Rhinolophus ferrumequinum: one gene and its partners. The protein of the gene in region 1 interacts with the protein of each later gene in a pairwise test. Links are inferred from orthologs where the notes say so. Each region holds a gene or a part of one and is shown on either strand. Other genes may lie near its edges.

Evidence for each region.
Region 2: the proteins of EXOSC10 (region 1) and MPHOSPH6 interact in binary tests that used the Homo sapiens proteins (3 or more experiments, as listed by UniProt). The link is inferred for Rhinolophus ferrumequinum from reciprocal best matches to the Homo sapiens genes EXOSC10 and MPHOSPH6.
Region 3: the proteins of EXOSC10 (region 1) and EXOSC8 interact in binary tests that used the Homo sapiens proteins (3 or more experiments, as listed by UniProt). The link is inferred for Rhinolophus ferrumequinum from reciprocal best matches to the Homo sapiens genes EXOSC10 and EXOSC8.

Annotation. Positions count from the first base shown.
Region 1 is NC_046292.1:7,453,532-7,457,282, forward strand, and holds the start of EXOSC10 (exosome component 10), read right to left. Parts: upstream 2,224-3,751; 5' UTR 2,177-2,223; coding exon 2,066-2,176; intron 459-2,065; coding exon 322-458; intron 1-321. UniProt on the Homo sapiens protein: Catalytic component of the RNA exosome complex which has 3'->5' exoribonuclease activity and participates in a multitude of cellular RNA processing and degradation events.
Region 2 is NC_046298.1:28,029,338-28,033,088, forward strand, and holds the start of MPHOSPH6 (M-phase phosphoprotein 6), read right to left. Parts: upstream 2,335-3,751; 5' UTR 2,250-2,334; coding exon 2,199-2,249; intron 1-2,198. UniProt on the Homo sapiens protein: RNA-binding protein that associates with the RNA exosome complex. Involved in the 3'-processing of the 7S pre-RNA to the mature 5.8S rRNA and play a role in recruiting the RNA exosome complex to pre-rRNA; this function may include C1D.
Region 3 is NC_046287.1:92,681,524-92,685,274, forward strand, and holds the start of EXOSC8 (exosome complex component RRP43), read right to left. Parts: upstream 2,637-3,751; 5' UTR 2,619-2,636; coding exon 2,602-2,618; intron 1,520-2,601; coding exon 1,483-1,519; intron 1,256-1,482; coding exon 1,192-1,255; intron 635-1,191; coding exon 561-634; intron 1-560. Other genes in the region: ALG5 (dolichyl-phosphate beta-glucosyltransferase), read left to right, coding at 3,710-3,751. UniProt on the Homo sapiens protein: Non-catalytic component of the RNA exosome complex which has 3'->5' exoribonuclease activity and participates in a multitude of cellular RNA processing and degradation events.

The DNA of each region.
Region 1 (3,751 bases):
CAGTGTTTGTGTACTGTCTGTCCTAATACATTTATTAGAAGGCTAATACTTGTGGCTCCGCAAGTTGTGAGAGAATCTTGGATCTAGGTTTTCAAGTCCTACATTAATTCAAAAAGATTCATTGTCTGTAGGTGCAAAAGTCAAGATATTTTAAAAGTTAAACTCAAAATTTACCAAGTTTCCCTAATCAAAATCCACTGTCTTATTTTTACATTTCCATAGCTCTGAAAATTATGTTCAGAAAAAACACATTTCAGGAAAAATTACCTCCTTTTTTATATTCATTTCTTTCAACAGAAGAAAACAGTATATAGCACTTACCACTGAAGCAACCTGTCTCCCTGTGTTTCACAAAATGCCTGAAAGCCAGGAAAACTTCGGTAAAAATCATACTCATCGCCAAACTGTGGTAGGCCCCCAGATGCTTTGGTGACTGCTACCACCGATCCAAGAGCAAACTGTCAAAAACCAGAAAACCAAGCACGTTTTAAACATGGATCCCCATTCACTCAGCAACTCATTTTTTTTTCAACACCTATTATATATAGTAACACATTGTGCTCGATGATGAAGATATCCAATCCCACAAATATTCACTTAGTGCTGATTTTACCCCAGGTCCTCAGGGTACAATGGTGAACACAAAACTAAGTTCTAGAGCTTACATTCTTGGGAGAGTGGGGAGAGGAAGAACAAATACACGTATGAGTAATATTCTAACTGGCCTGGGTTTGAATCGTGGCTCGGCTACCTATTAACTGTGATCTCGGGCAAATTATTTCATTTATTTGGACCTCAGTTTCCTCCTCTGAAAAATCGGCATTATTTAAGTGCCAACACCATAGAGTTGTTGAAAGGATTAAATGAGCTAATAAAATCACTTAGGATAGCTGCTGGCACAGAAGTGCTATTATTACTATTACTACTCAAATTCAGATCCATGAGTTTCCTACAGGAATTAAGTTTTGTGTTTTCATTTGGATGAGCATCTAAAAACAATATAAGAATATTCTAGATCCTTTGGATGACCAATTGATAATGGCTACTGCCCACAACTGGACTTACGTTTATGGTTCAGTTAGTGCCAAGTAGTCCTCTGTTTTAATTGTTGTGGGGTAATGAGAAAAAAACCTGAAGTGGTTGTCCTAGATAAAAAAGATAGTTGGTCATGTGAAGGCCAAATGCCTTCACTGTGAGTTGCGTAATAAAAGTTTTCCAAGAAAAAGAAGAGAGAAAGGAATCTGAGTTATGGTGGGGTAGACCTGGTAGCTTATAAGCATGAACACACCCAATCAGGACCATGGCTAGTGGTCCAGGAACTACCAAAGCCAAATAAATAAGTTAATAATAGCATCTGCTAACAATAAAGTAGGTATGTGAGTGTAGTTTTTGAGAATTTGTAGTGCTAATTTAAAAATTATTTTAGTTTCATGATTTTATAAGAGCTATGCATAAGGCGTTTAAAATAGTTTTATGTTTGTTCATATTTAAGCAGCATTATACAAATAACTAAACGAACCCTCTCTGTGTTCTTTCGAGGAGGCATTGATACATATTCTATGGTACCTAGAGGAGGGAGACTCAGTGACAGCTTGCACAGGTGACTTTAAACCCAGGTTTTGGGATTATGTAGGACTGGACCTCAGGAGTGAGAAGAGGCACTAAAAACTATCTTGGCCGCGGGAGGCGAGGATGTAGGAAGGCAACATAAAGCAGCCGAGCCCCTCGGGAGAGTTGGTTGGGTGGCTCAGGCCCGGGCGGGGGCGAGCTCGCGAAGGCTGGGGCATCGGCGTGACAAGAAAGCCCTTCCCACTGTGGAGGGGGCGCTCCACACTCAGGGCTGCATGGGCTCAATTAGGAGAATGAACGCACTGGAAAGCGGGGCTACCTTTAGTGTCCGCGTGCGAGGCCCCATCCCCGGAGGGTGAAGTGAGAGACTGCTTGGAGCGGGCAGCGGCCCCTCGATCCCCGCCCGGGGCTCCGCGTGCGGCCGCCCAGAGGGCCCGGGCCTGCTTCCGGCCCGCCGCTGGAGGCTCACGGCGTCCCCGAGGCCCCGCGAACTCACCTTCACGAAGCTGTCCGCGTCCGGAAATCCCGGCAGCACCATCTCCTCGTCGGACTTAGCCGCGCTCGTAGCCGGCGGGGCCTTCAAGTCCCCGGGACTGGGAACCGCCATTTTTCCGGCATTCACGGCTCTTCTCGCGAGAGTGCCTCGGGCCGACGCGACGTGCGCGCACCACGCATGTGCAAAGGTCGTCTTCGTCGGGCAGGATCTTAAGGGGCGTGTGCGTGAGCAGTACGGTCCTGAGCGCTCCACCCAGGGAACTTTACATTTTTCTTTAACCTCGTATTATATCATCCCAACAGTCCTGTGATTTAGGGTGAGACCCGGAGAACCCAATTATCCTCATATTTAAAGCCAGCTCCTCCCAAGCTGTGGTTCCGTGCCACTCCTACCCGCTTGAACTTGGCTCTTGCAATTATCCCCGTTCTCTGCATCATCTATCTTTTCCCTGGCTACTGGTCCGTTCCTAACAGCCTACACGTATGCTGGCATCTCCCAACTAAACAGACGAAACGAAAAAGCACTACTCCACCCCACTCCTTCTAGCCACCGTCGCCTTTCTCTTGCCCCTGGTAGGCAAACTCCTGGAAAAGGCATCTGTGTGCTCCCACCTTGCGTACCTCCTGTGCCCTCCACCTCCAGTCACGTGTTCCTCTCCTTTACACCCCCGGAACCCCTCTTGTTTAGCCACGTAGTGGGAACTCAAAACATTTGCTAACTGAATGCCTCGAAGCGTTCGTGTTCTACGAGGGAGGCACCATTAGGCAGGTCAGGGGAGGGACTGGGGAAGCTCAGTGGGTATATATTCTAAGATCAGGGGTGGCACACCCTTGATGCAATTCATTTGGCCTAGTAGTGTTCAGTAAATATTAGCTTTTATTGTTATTCAGAACATCCTATTAACAGGATACTTGTTTTTTACTGTTTTCCCCCACTTGTGTACCTCGGGTGCACCGGCACCCTGGCAGAACAAAAGCCTAGCCTAGTTCATTTAACAACTCATATTTCTGAGCACCTGTTTCATACGGTTTGACCTAATGCCACCTGTCCGGCTGTGCTGAGTGCTTTACATGCATCATCTCCTCCTCCTAGTACTATTACCCACTGTCAGAGGAGGAAAGATGCAGCTTCTACCTGTTTTAGAACCTCACATGGTTCCCTGCTGTCCACAGTATCAGGTTCAAACTCCTTGCCGTTGAACTGTGAGGCAGGCCAGTCTGGCCCCACTCTACTTTCTGGCCTCCTTTTCGTTCCTATTCTTTTTATTCCCCACTGACCACTGAGGTAGACCTGCTGACCTGTGAGGTGTGACTATGAAACCACCATTTTATATATAAAACATGGCTGAATACCAGCAATCTAATACGGCTCAAGTTAATACTCACCACTTCTACACCATATTGCGCTTTGACACCTCTTTTCTGCCGAGAATGTCCTCACTTGCTTGAAATGACAAGCTCCCGCGCATCCTTTGAGACACACGGCAAATGTCCCCCTTCCCATGAGGCTTTCCTGCCTTGCCCAGTGGCGTAGTCGTTTCAGAGCCCCACCTGTGGCTCACACCCTGTACGTGGCCCTTCTCACCCCTTCGTGTCGTGGAGTTGTCAGTCCACTCCTGCCTGATACTGTCTCGGCCTTTTCCGGCCTGTGAACACCCCCGAGGAAACAGACTAGGTCATGTAGATC
Region 2 (3,751 bases), on another chromosome or scaffold:
AAGATTAAATCCTCCACCCTCTCCTTCTTGCTCTATACTTAGCTCTGGCTGAAGCGCTATACTGTATACTGCAACATCAGGCAGCTGCTTCATTCCTTCTCATAAAACATTCCACTCTGTCTGTATATATAGTGTCTCGTGCTAGCCTTTCAATAAGTTCTTTCTTATCAATGCCCGAAGTTGTTAACCCAAATAGAGAACCTGGGTATTTTTTTCCCTCTCCTTTGCTTCCAATGTGTAGTCGAGTCTCTCTGAACCACTCGCGTTAGAGGTGAATAATTTTAGTCAATTTCTTCATTCCTACTTCCAAAGTCAGGGCTCTTTGATCTGAGCCCTAATCACCCAGTACGGCCTCATTTGACTTATCCAAGAGCTAAAACAACTGCTAAAATCTTTTCAGGGTCTGCTTTGTCAATCCACTTCACTTCTTTGAAATCTACATGATTACATACCATAAGCCACAAGAAAACTGTTCAGTAAAGATTCAAAGTTTGCTAATATGCATGAAAGAAGTACTTTGGAAACTAAATTATGCTATGATTTACCCGCTACCCTCACCCTATCCATTCCTAGTTACACCTTAGCTCAACTCCACTCAGATTTTGCCCATCCAATATTTACTGTCCAATCTTTCAAAACATTATTTATGCCTTGCTTCCTCTTCTTGGAAATTCCACAATTCTCTAAACACGACATTTAACAGTTTACATCTATAAGTATTCAGCGACCAGAAGTAGTTAAGAGCAAGGGGCTCTGGTACCAACTGCCTGAGTCTGAGTCTTGTTTACACTTCTTATAAGCAGTAACTTTGGGCAAATTACTTCCCTGTTTCAGTTGCTATGACTATTAGAGAAGGATAATAACTGCACTCACCTCAAGAGTTATCACCGTGTTTCCCTGAAAATAAGACCTAGCTGGACAATCAGCTCTAATGCGTCTTTTGGAGCAAAAATTAATGTAAGACCCGGAATTCTATTATATTAGACACGGTATTATATTATATTTTATATCATATTAGACCCGCTCTTATACTATATTAGACCCAGTATATATTATATTATATTAATTATATTATATTATATGACCCGGTCTTACATTATAGTAAAATAAGACCGGGTCTTATATTAATTTTTGCTCCAAAAGGTGCATCAGAGCTGATTGTCTGGTTAGGTCTTATTTTCGGGGAAACACCGTATATGGATTTCTTGAGTTGATACATGCAAAACATTTAGAACTGTGTCTGGCACACAGCAAGAACTGTAAATGTTTGCTATTATTATTTAAGTTTTAAGGATTGGTTGTTTTTCCTATTTTAATTCCTGTATTTATTTTATCTATCCTTGTCTTTTTCCGCCATTTTGACATTTGGTTAAATTGATCCAATCTGAAATATAAAAATCAATTTTGCTTAACGTTGGGTGACATAACTCACTTTCACCTGAACTGTTATAATTCCATTGCAATGCCACTGTGCCCCTCACTCAAATCATCTAAACTTCTAGATGGTCTTTTTGACTGCAATTTTGTCCTGTCGAGTCTTTCTTTCACCAACGTATTCTTCACAGGACAGTTAATGTAACCTTGAAAAGTAAGAGGCACAGCTGATAACTGCTACCTGTGCTCCATAGCTTCCCAACACTCACAAGGTAAAGAAAACAACTCCTTAATCTGGCCTAAAATTTCCTGCATGTTAATGACCCGCCTACATTTCCAGGCCCATTTCTTGCTACTTGCCTTCAGGACATAATGAATTATCTTTAGTTCTTAAAAATCACCATGGGTTTTTGGTTTTTGCCTCTCAAACTTCTGAACTCGCTCTTCCCGCAGTTTATGTTGTTAGGTTCCCCACCCTCCCACCTACCCTTCAGTCTCTAGGACCACTTCCCGCAGAAGCCCACGTTAAGTTCCCCGAGGTGCGGGCGCTTCCAGCGTCACCGCACGTAGTACGCTGTATCCTAACTGCTCGCTTACGTGTCTGCGTCTCCCACCCGCCGGCTTTAAGAGAGAATACGCCGGATTTCTAATCCGGTTCCCAGTGCCTAACGCAGAGCAGACGCTAAGGGAATGAATGAGCGCGAGAGGTGGATGCCCTCCGGCGCTTCTCTGGCGCCCCCGCACGCCCAGTGCCTCGGCCTCGGCCAGGCCGGGAGAATCAGGTGGCCTTACCCTCCCGGCATGGCTCCCCAGTGTCCCTGTACCTTCATGCGCAGCAGGTTCTTGGACAACTTGGTCTTGCGCTCCGCTGCCATGCTGGCTTCCGCTAGGCCCCGCGCTCCTCCAGGAGCCCCACTGCGCACGCGCGCTGCTGCGTACGCAGCGGCGTCATTTTACGTAGAGCGCGTCTCCGTGCCTTGTGGCCCCGCCCCTGCTTCTCGTGGGCGAAGGCGTCAGGGGCTCTTCGCGTGTCGCCTCAGGGAGCGCATGCATCTCCTAGAAGCTCAGGGTAAGGGCGCGACCGCCCGCCACGGGGGCAGAGAATCTTAACGCCGGGAGGGAGACCCCAGAGAGGCTGAAGCCGGAGGAGGGCGGAGCTCTGGTCGCTGCGAGCTGTCGGCTGCCTTCCCCTGAGGGCTTCAACCCGGCCCCTCAGGCTCCGCACGGGGCAGAGCGACCCAGGGCCTGGCAGTGGCGAGTCCCACCCCGCTTACGGACTCAGTCCTGTCGCGCGTCGTTGACTCAGTTGTCCTCGTGAGACCTTTGAGTCGGTTGCCTCCCCATCCTTTTCTTTCACGTGTTTCTAACACGGATGGCGGGCTATGTTCTGCATCACATGACGTGTAATAGTTCATTTTATGTTCACGATAACCCTGTAGGGTGGTACTGTTCTTATCCCCGTGTTGCAGTTGAGGAAACTGAGGTAGAGGGAGGGTCCTTCGCTAGTTCGAAGTCAGACTGAGGGAGGTGGGTGTAAGCCCTGGCGCTCTGGCTTCAGCAATACAATGGAAAACCATGTTAAATTCACCTGTTAACTGTTGTGTGCGTCTTTGAACCGAAATGATCTTTCTGTTAAATAGGAAGAATAGCAAGAGATAATCAAAGATACATGAGGGCGAGAACACAACCTTATTTCCAATTAAATCGTTGAAAAGATGATAGCTTCAGTGCTCTGTACCGCTAAACATTTTGCACACCTTTCACAGGTGCCACACTTTGGGAAACACCCAGCCTAATGGCATCTCAGCTGATAACATGCGCTACATGCCAAATTCTTGTGCTGGGTACCATACGGGTATTATTTAATCCTCGGAAGAACCCTGAAAAGGTGTTACTGTCATCATATATTTAGGGAATCGGAGGCCCAGAGAGGTTAAGGGACTTGCCAGAGTTCTCACAGCAAGTAAGTGTTACGAGGGGAGATTCGGAAAGCTTCATGAAAAGGTAGCCCTGCCTCGGAAGGTTTTCTCACTGGATTAAATAAAATTACAGTTTGGTAAGTGGTTATCAAAACTCATTCATTCACCACACTGTGTGAGACACTGGGCTAAACTCTGTGCTACAGTAGTTCAGAAAAACACATGACCTCCTTTGCCTGGGGCTGACATTCTGGTGAGTGCCATGGAAGAAAGAAAATGAGGAGGTGACAGTGACTTTGGGGGTTACTTTAGATAAGATGGTCTGAGATGGTTCTTACAAGACCATCGTGCTAAGGCCTGAAAGTTAAGAAAAACCTGCTGTATGAAGCATGTTCTAAAAAGAGGGACTAGCAACTGCAAAGGTCCTTAAATGCGGATGCGAGTCGTCATAGAGTTGA
Region 3 (3,751 bases), on another chromosome or scaffold:
TTAATTCCGCAAATCACTGTAGTATTTCCCAGCTTCACTAAAGCAGAACCATCTGCAGTACTAATAAGGTGCCTGGAACGTAGCAGGTAGTACCTGGTAGCTATTCTGTCAAGCTTTTCTTTTGAGTGATCTCAATTTTTTACACATTTGCACAGATTAAATGCCATCACTGGATAAAAGGATGTCACCAAAAAACTAATTTCTCAAATGATAATCAAATTTTTTAAAAAAACTAGTTTCAGATGTACAAAACAATGTAATAGGTATTTACAGCCCTCACAAAGTGATACCCCCCCACAACCAAATTCTTAAAAAATTAAAGGTGGTGAGGATTTGATACATTATTTGATTTCAGTACATTTGATGTTCTTAAATTACAACTGAATCATTAAACGGGTCGTATTCAATAAGAGATGAAAGCTCTTGGGAAATGAAAACAAATACTAAAAAACTGACATCTGACTTGCCTAATCGACAGAATTAAAAGTGTATATTACAATCTAATAAGTATACGAAGCTAATTTGGCAACTCAAATCTCATTAAGACATATTAAACCTACCGCTTTAATTCCGCAAATCACTGTAGTATTTCCCAGCTTCACTAAAGCAGAACCATCTGCAGTACTAATTGAACCTGAAAAGATAAGCAAGCAAAATGAAAAAGTCCACAGTGTTTTCATTTATCTTGTTACATATCTTAGTTTATGAAAATTTATTCCTAGCTCAACTCTTTAAAGTGGTATGATTACTGTTTTAAGAATTATATACCTGTCTTTGAATTTGAGTTAATCCTTTTCATTCAGTCACAGGACTGTTGTACAGGTAAAAATCTCTTGACACAAAAATCACTGGAATCTCTTAAACATGGTAGAATTTGGCTGAAATACTGTTTAAGTGGCTTAGAGGCTAAAACTTGGGAATGCCACACAGGTAAAACTGGAAAACTCCATGTTTGTAACAGAAAGTTTAATAAGTTTAAGACATAAAACCATGTCTTAGAGATCTGGAAGGAAGGGGCGGGGAGGGGGGAACGCTCTGTAGTTACTTTAAAATGGAGAACATATCAATTGAGAGGACTTAAAAAAAAACAAACTACAAATAAAAATACTAGTATTAAAAAAACAAGAAACATTCCAGTTTCAAAACTGAAGCAACTTCAACATTCTATTTTAGAATTCAAAATATACTCACCTATGTTGACAGTTGTGGTTCTGAATTCACCAAGTTCTCTTCCATCAGGACGGCAGTTCTCTTTCTAAATAAATATATATGAAAGATTACATCTACATGTATATTTTACATACAACCAGGGAAAACACATTAAACCTTGTTAATTGAAATTACTTGAAATTTTTTTTAGGTATAATTGACATATAACAGTTTCAGGTGTACAATGTAACAATTCAATATTTGTATGTCAAAAATGTCTTTAAAAATGTTATTATCAAAAGTTATAACATGTACATAATCACCTTTACTCACCAAAAATCTCCTGAAATACTCCAGAGGTTCCACAGTTCTGAAATGTTAGCAATATATCCGAGGTAAGTTAATGAATCTTAATATAAATCCAGAAACTGTAAAAGATCTTAAAAACGTAGTCATGCAGTATAAATCTCCACAATGTGTGACTGTTTCCTTCATAAATTCTGACACTTATGTTGCCACATAACTAATTATAAGAAGTAGATACCCTTGCTGTAGCAATCACTCAACTGTCCTTAACTCTGCCTTAAACAATTTCAGGACTGGAGTCCAAAGCCCTTGGACTTCTTTAAAAGGATTAATCCAGGTGTTAATGGCACTCTCCCCCGGAAGCAGGGATTCTCGGCACAAAAAAAAAAGTTACATCTTTATTTTTCACCATCCTATAACTGAAATTTAGCATATTCTTAAATTCTGACTGGGTAATATTAGCAATACCTGTGACTCTTAACAACCACAGACATTAAATGTTTTCGTTTTTACTTAATAGTTATTGAAGGTAGGTTCAGTTACTTTGAAATTCCACTAGTTACTAGACTCCCCACTAGATCTTGTTTAATTTTAAAACAAGTATGTGTACATCACCGTATCGTGAACTCGGGAATTTATAGAAATAGATAAGTGTTTCAATATACTTGGTTTTCTTCGGAATCCTACTTATCCCTTTAAAAATTTGGCTCCGAGAACGAAAATCTATAGGCTTCACCAGAGTGCCACACAAAAAAGCTTAGCTAAAAGCGTCCGTGCAAGGCACAATCCTTTTAGAAATAAATTATGGAGGGAGAATAGAATGGCACGTGGTTCTGATGCAACACTTTTTAAAATACAGCTGTCTCCTGGGGCTAAATGTCCACTACACAAGGCACACGCGCTCCGCAGCGGGTACTGAACTCAACGTATAGTCTTCTTTTCCATCTTCCCGTCTTAGTGCCGGGGAGAGGCCCCCTTTCCTTTCACTACAACCACCTCCAGGTCCTCCCGCCCGTCGCCTGCTTCCGCGAGAGAAAGTGGGAAGATGGTGGGGTGGCCTCCAGGTGAGAAAATCCCAGCTAAGGGTTAAAGGAAGCCGCCATCCGTCAGGATACAAACTCGCGCACAGCCGCCGCCAACACTCACTTGAAACCAGCCGCCATCTTCCCGCCCGCGCGCCTGCGCGGGGGTAGGACACTGCGCCTGCGCCTGCGCCTGCGCCTGCGCGGAGGTTGGGGGAAGGACACTGTTGTCTACGTGCCGCGCGCCGTCTGGGCCACCGCTTTCCGCACGGACTCCAGCGCTCTTCTACGGCTGCAGGAGACGCAGAAGGCCAGGGCATCGCTAGGGTGCGACCCGACCCTTCGCTTCAACAGTCACTAGCCAGACGCACCTGTAGGTTTCTTTGCATTCTACGCGTTTTGACGAGTCTGCTGTTATAGAAGTGATAGCTTCTCTGTTTACAAACAGTTCAAGAGTTTAAGAGAAAATCGACCTTATAGCAAATAATCCAGTATTGAGCGTGAAGCATTATCCCAATGTTCTTAATCCAGTGTTTCTGCGTCCTTTTCCTGCCCCCTCTTAGGTTATGCCTGGGTTTTCCTTCTCCCAGGTAAAGAGCTCCCTGCTTCAGCACTGGAGATTACATATATTTTCTTCGCGCTCATTCTCCGCACCAGGTTACACTTTTCAGGACCTTGGGCGGGCTCCACAGGAGCTGCTTTTATTGTAGGTTGCGTGGTGGGGTTGCCAGATAAAATAAAGGACATCCAATTAAATTTGAATGTCAGATAAGCAAAGAGTAATTTTTTACTATGAGTAAGCCCCAAATAGTGTATGTTAGTCGTTGTTACCAGGGGCTGGAGCAGGGAAAGTTTTAGAAATAGTGATGATGGTTGCAGAAAATTGTGAATGTAATTAATGGCACTGGATTGTGCATTTTAAATAGGAAAAATAGCAAAAAAAAATTTCAGTTTTAAAAAGTTAGGTAACATACCAAAAACTTTTAAATGTGTGGGTTGAATGGTATGTGATTTATATTTCAATAAGGCTGTTACAAAAAAAACTTAGTTGCTTATCTGAAATTCAAATTAAGTGGACGTTCTGTTTTCACGTAGTGCTAATTCTGGCAACTCTGGAGCAGAGCGCCTGGCTGGCAGACAAGACCCAATGTGTTCTCGCCGCGCGAGGGCGCTGTGGGCGGCGGGCGCAGCCTCTCCGCCTGCAGGAGGCGGGGCTGCGGGACGGCTTCCGCATGTGTGTAGGTGCTGGGGAGGGCGGCGGTGCAGCCGGCGCA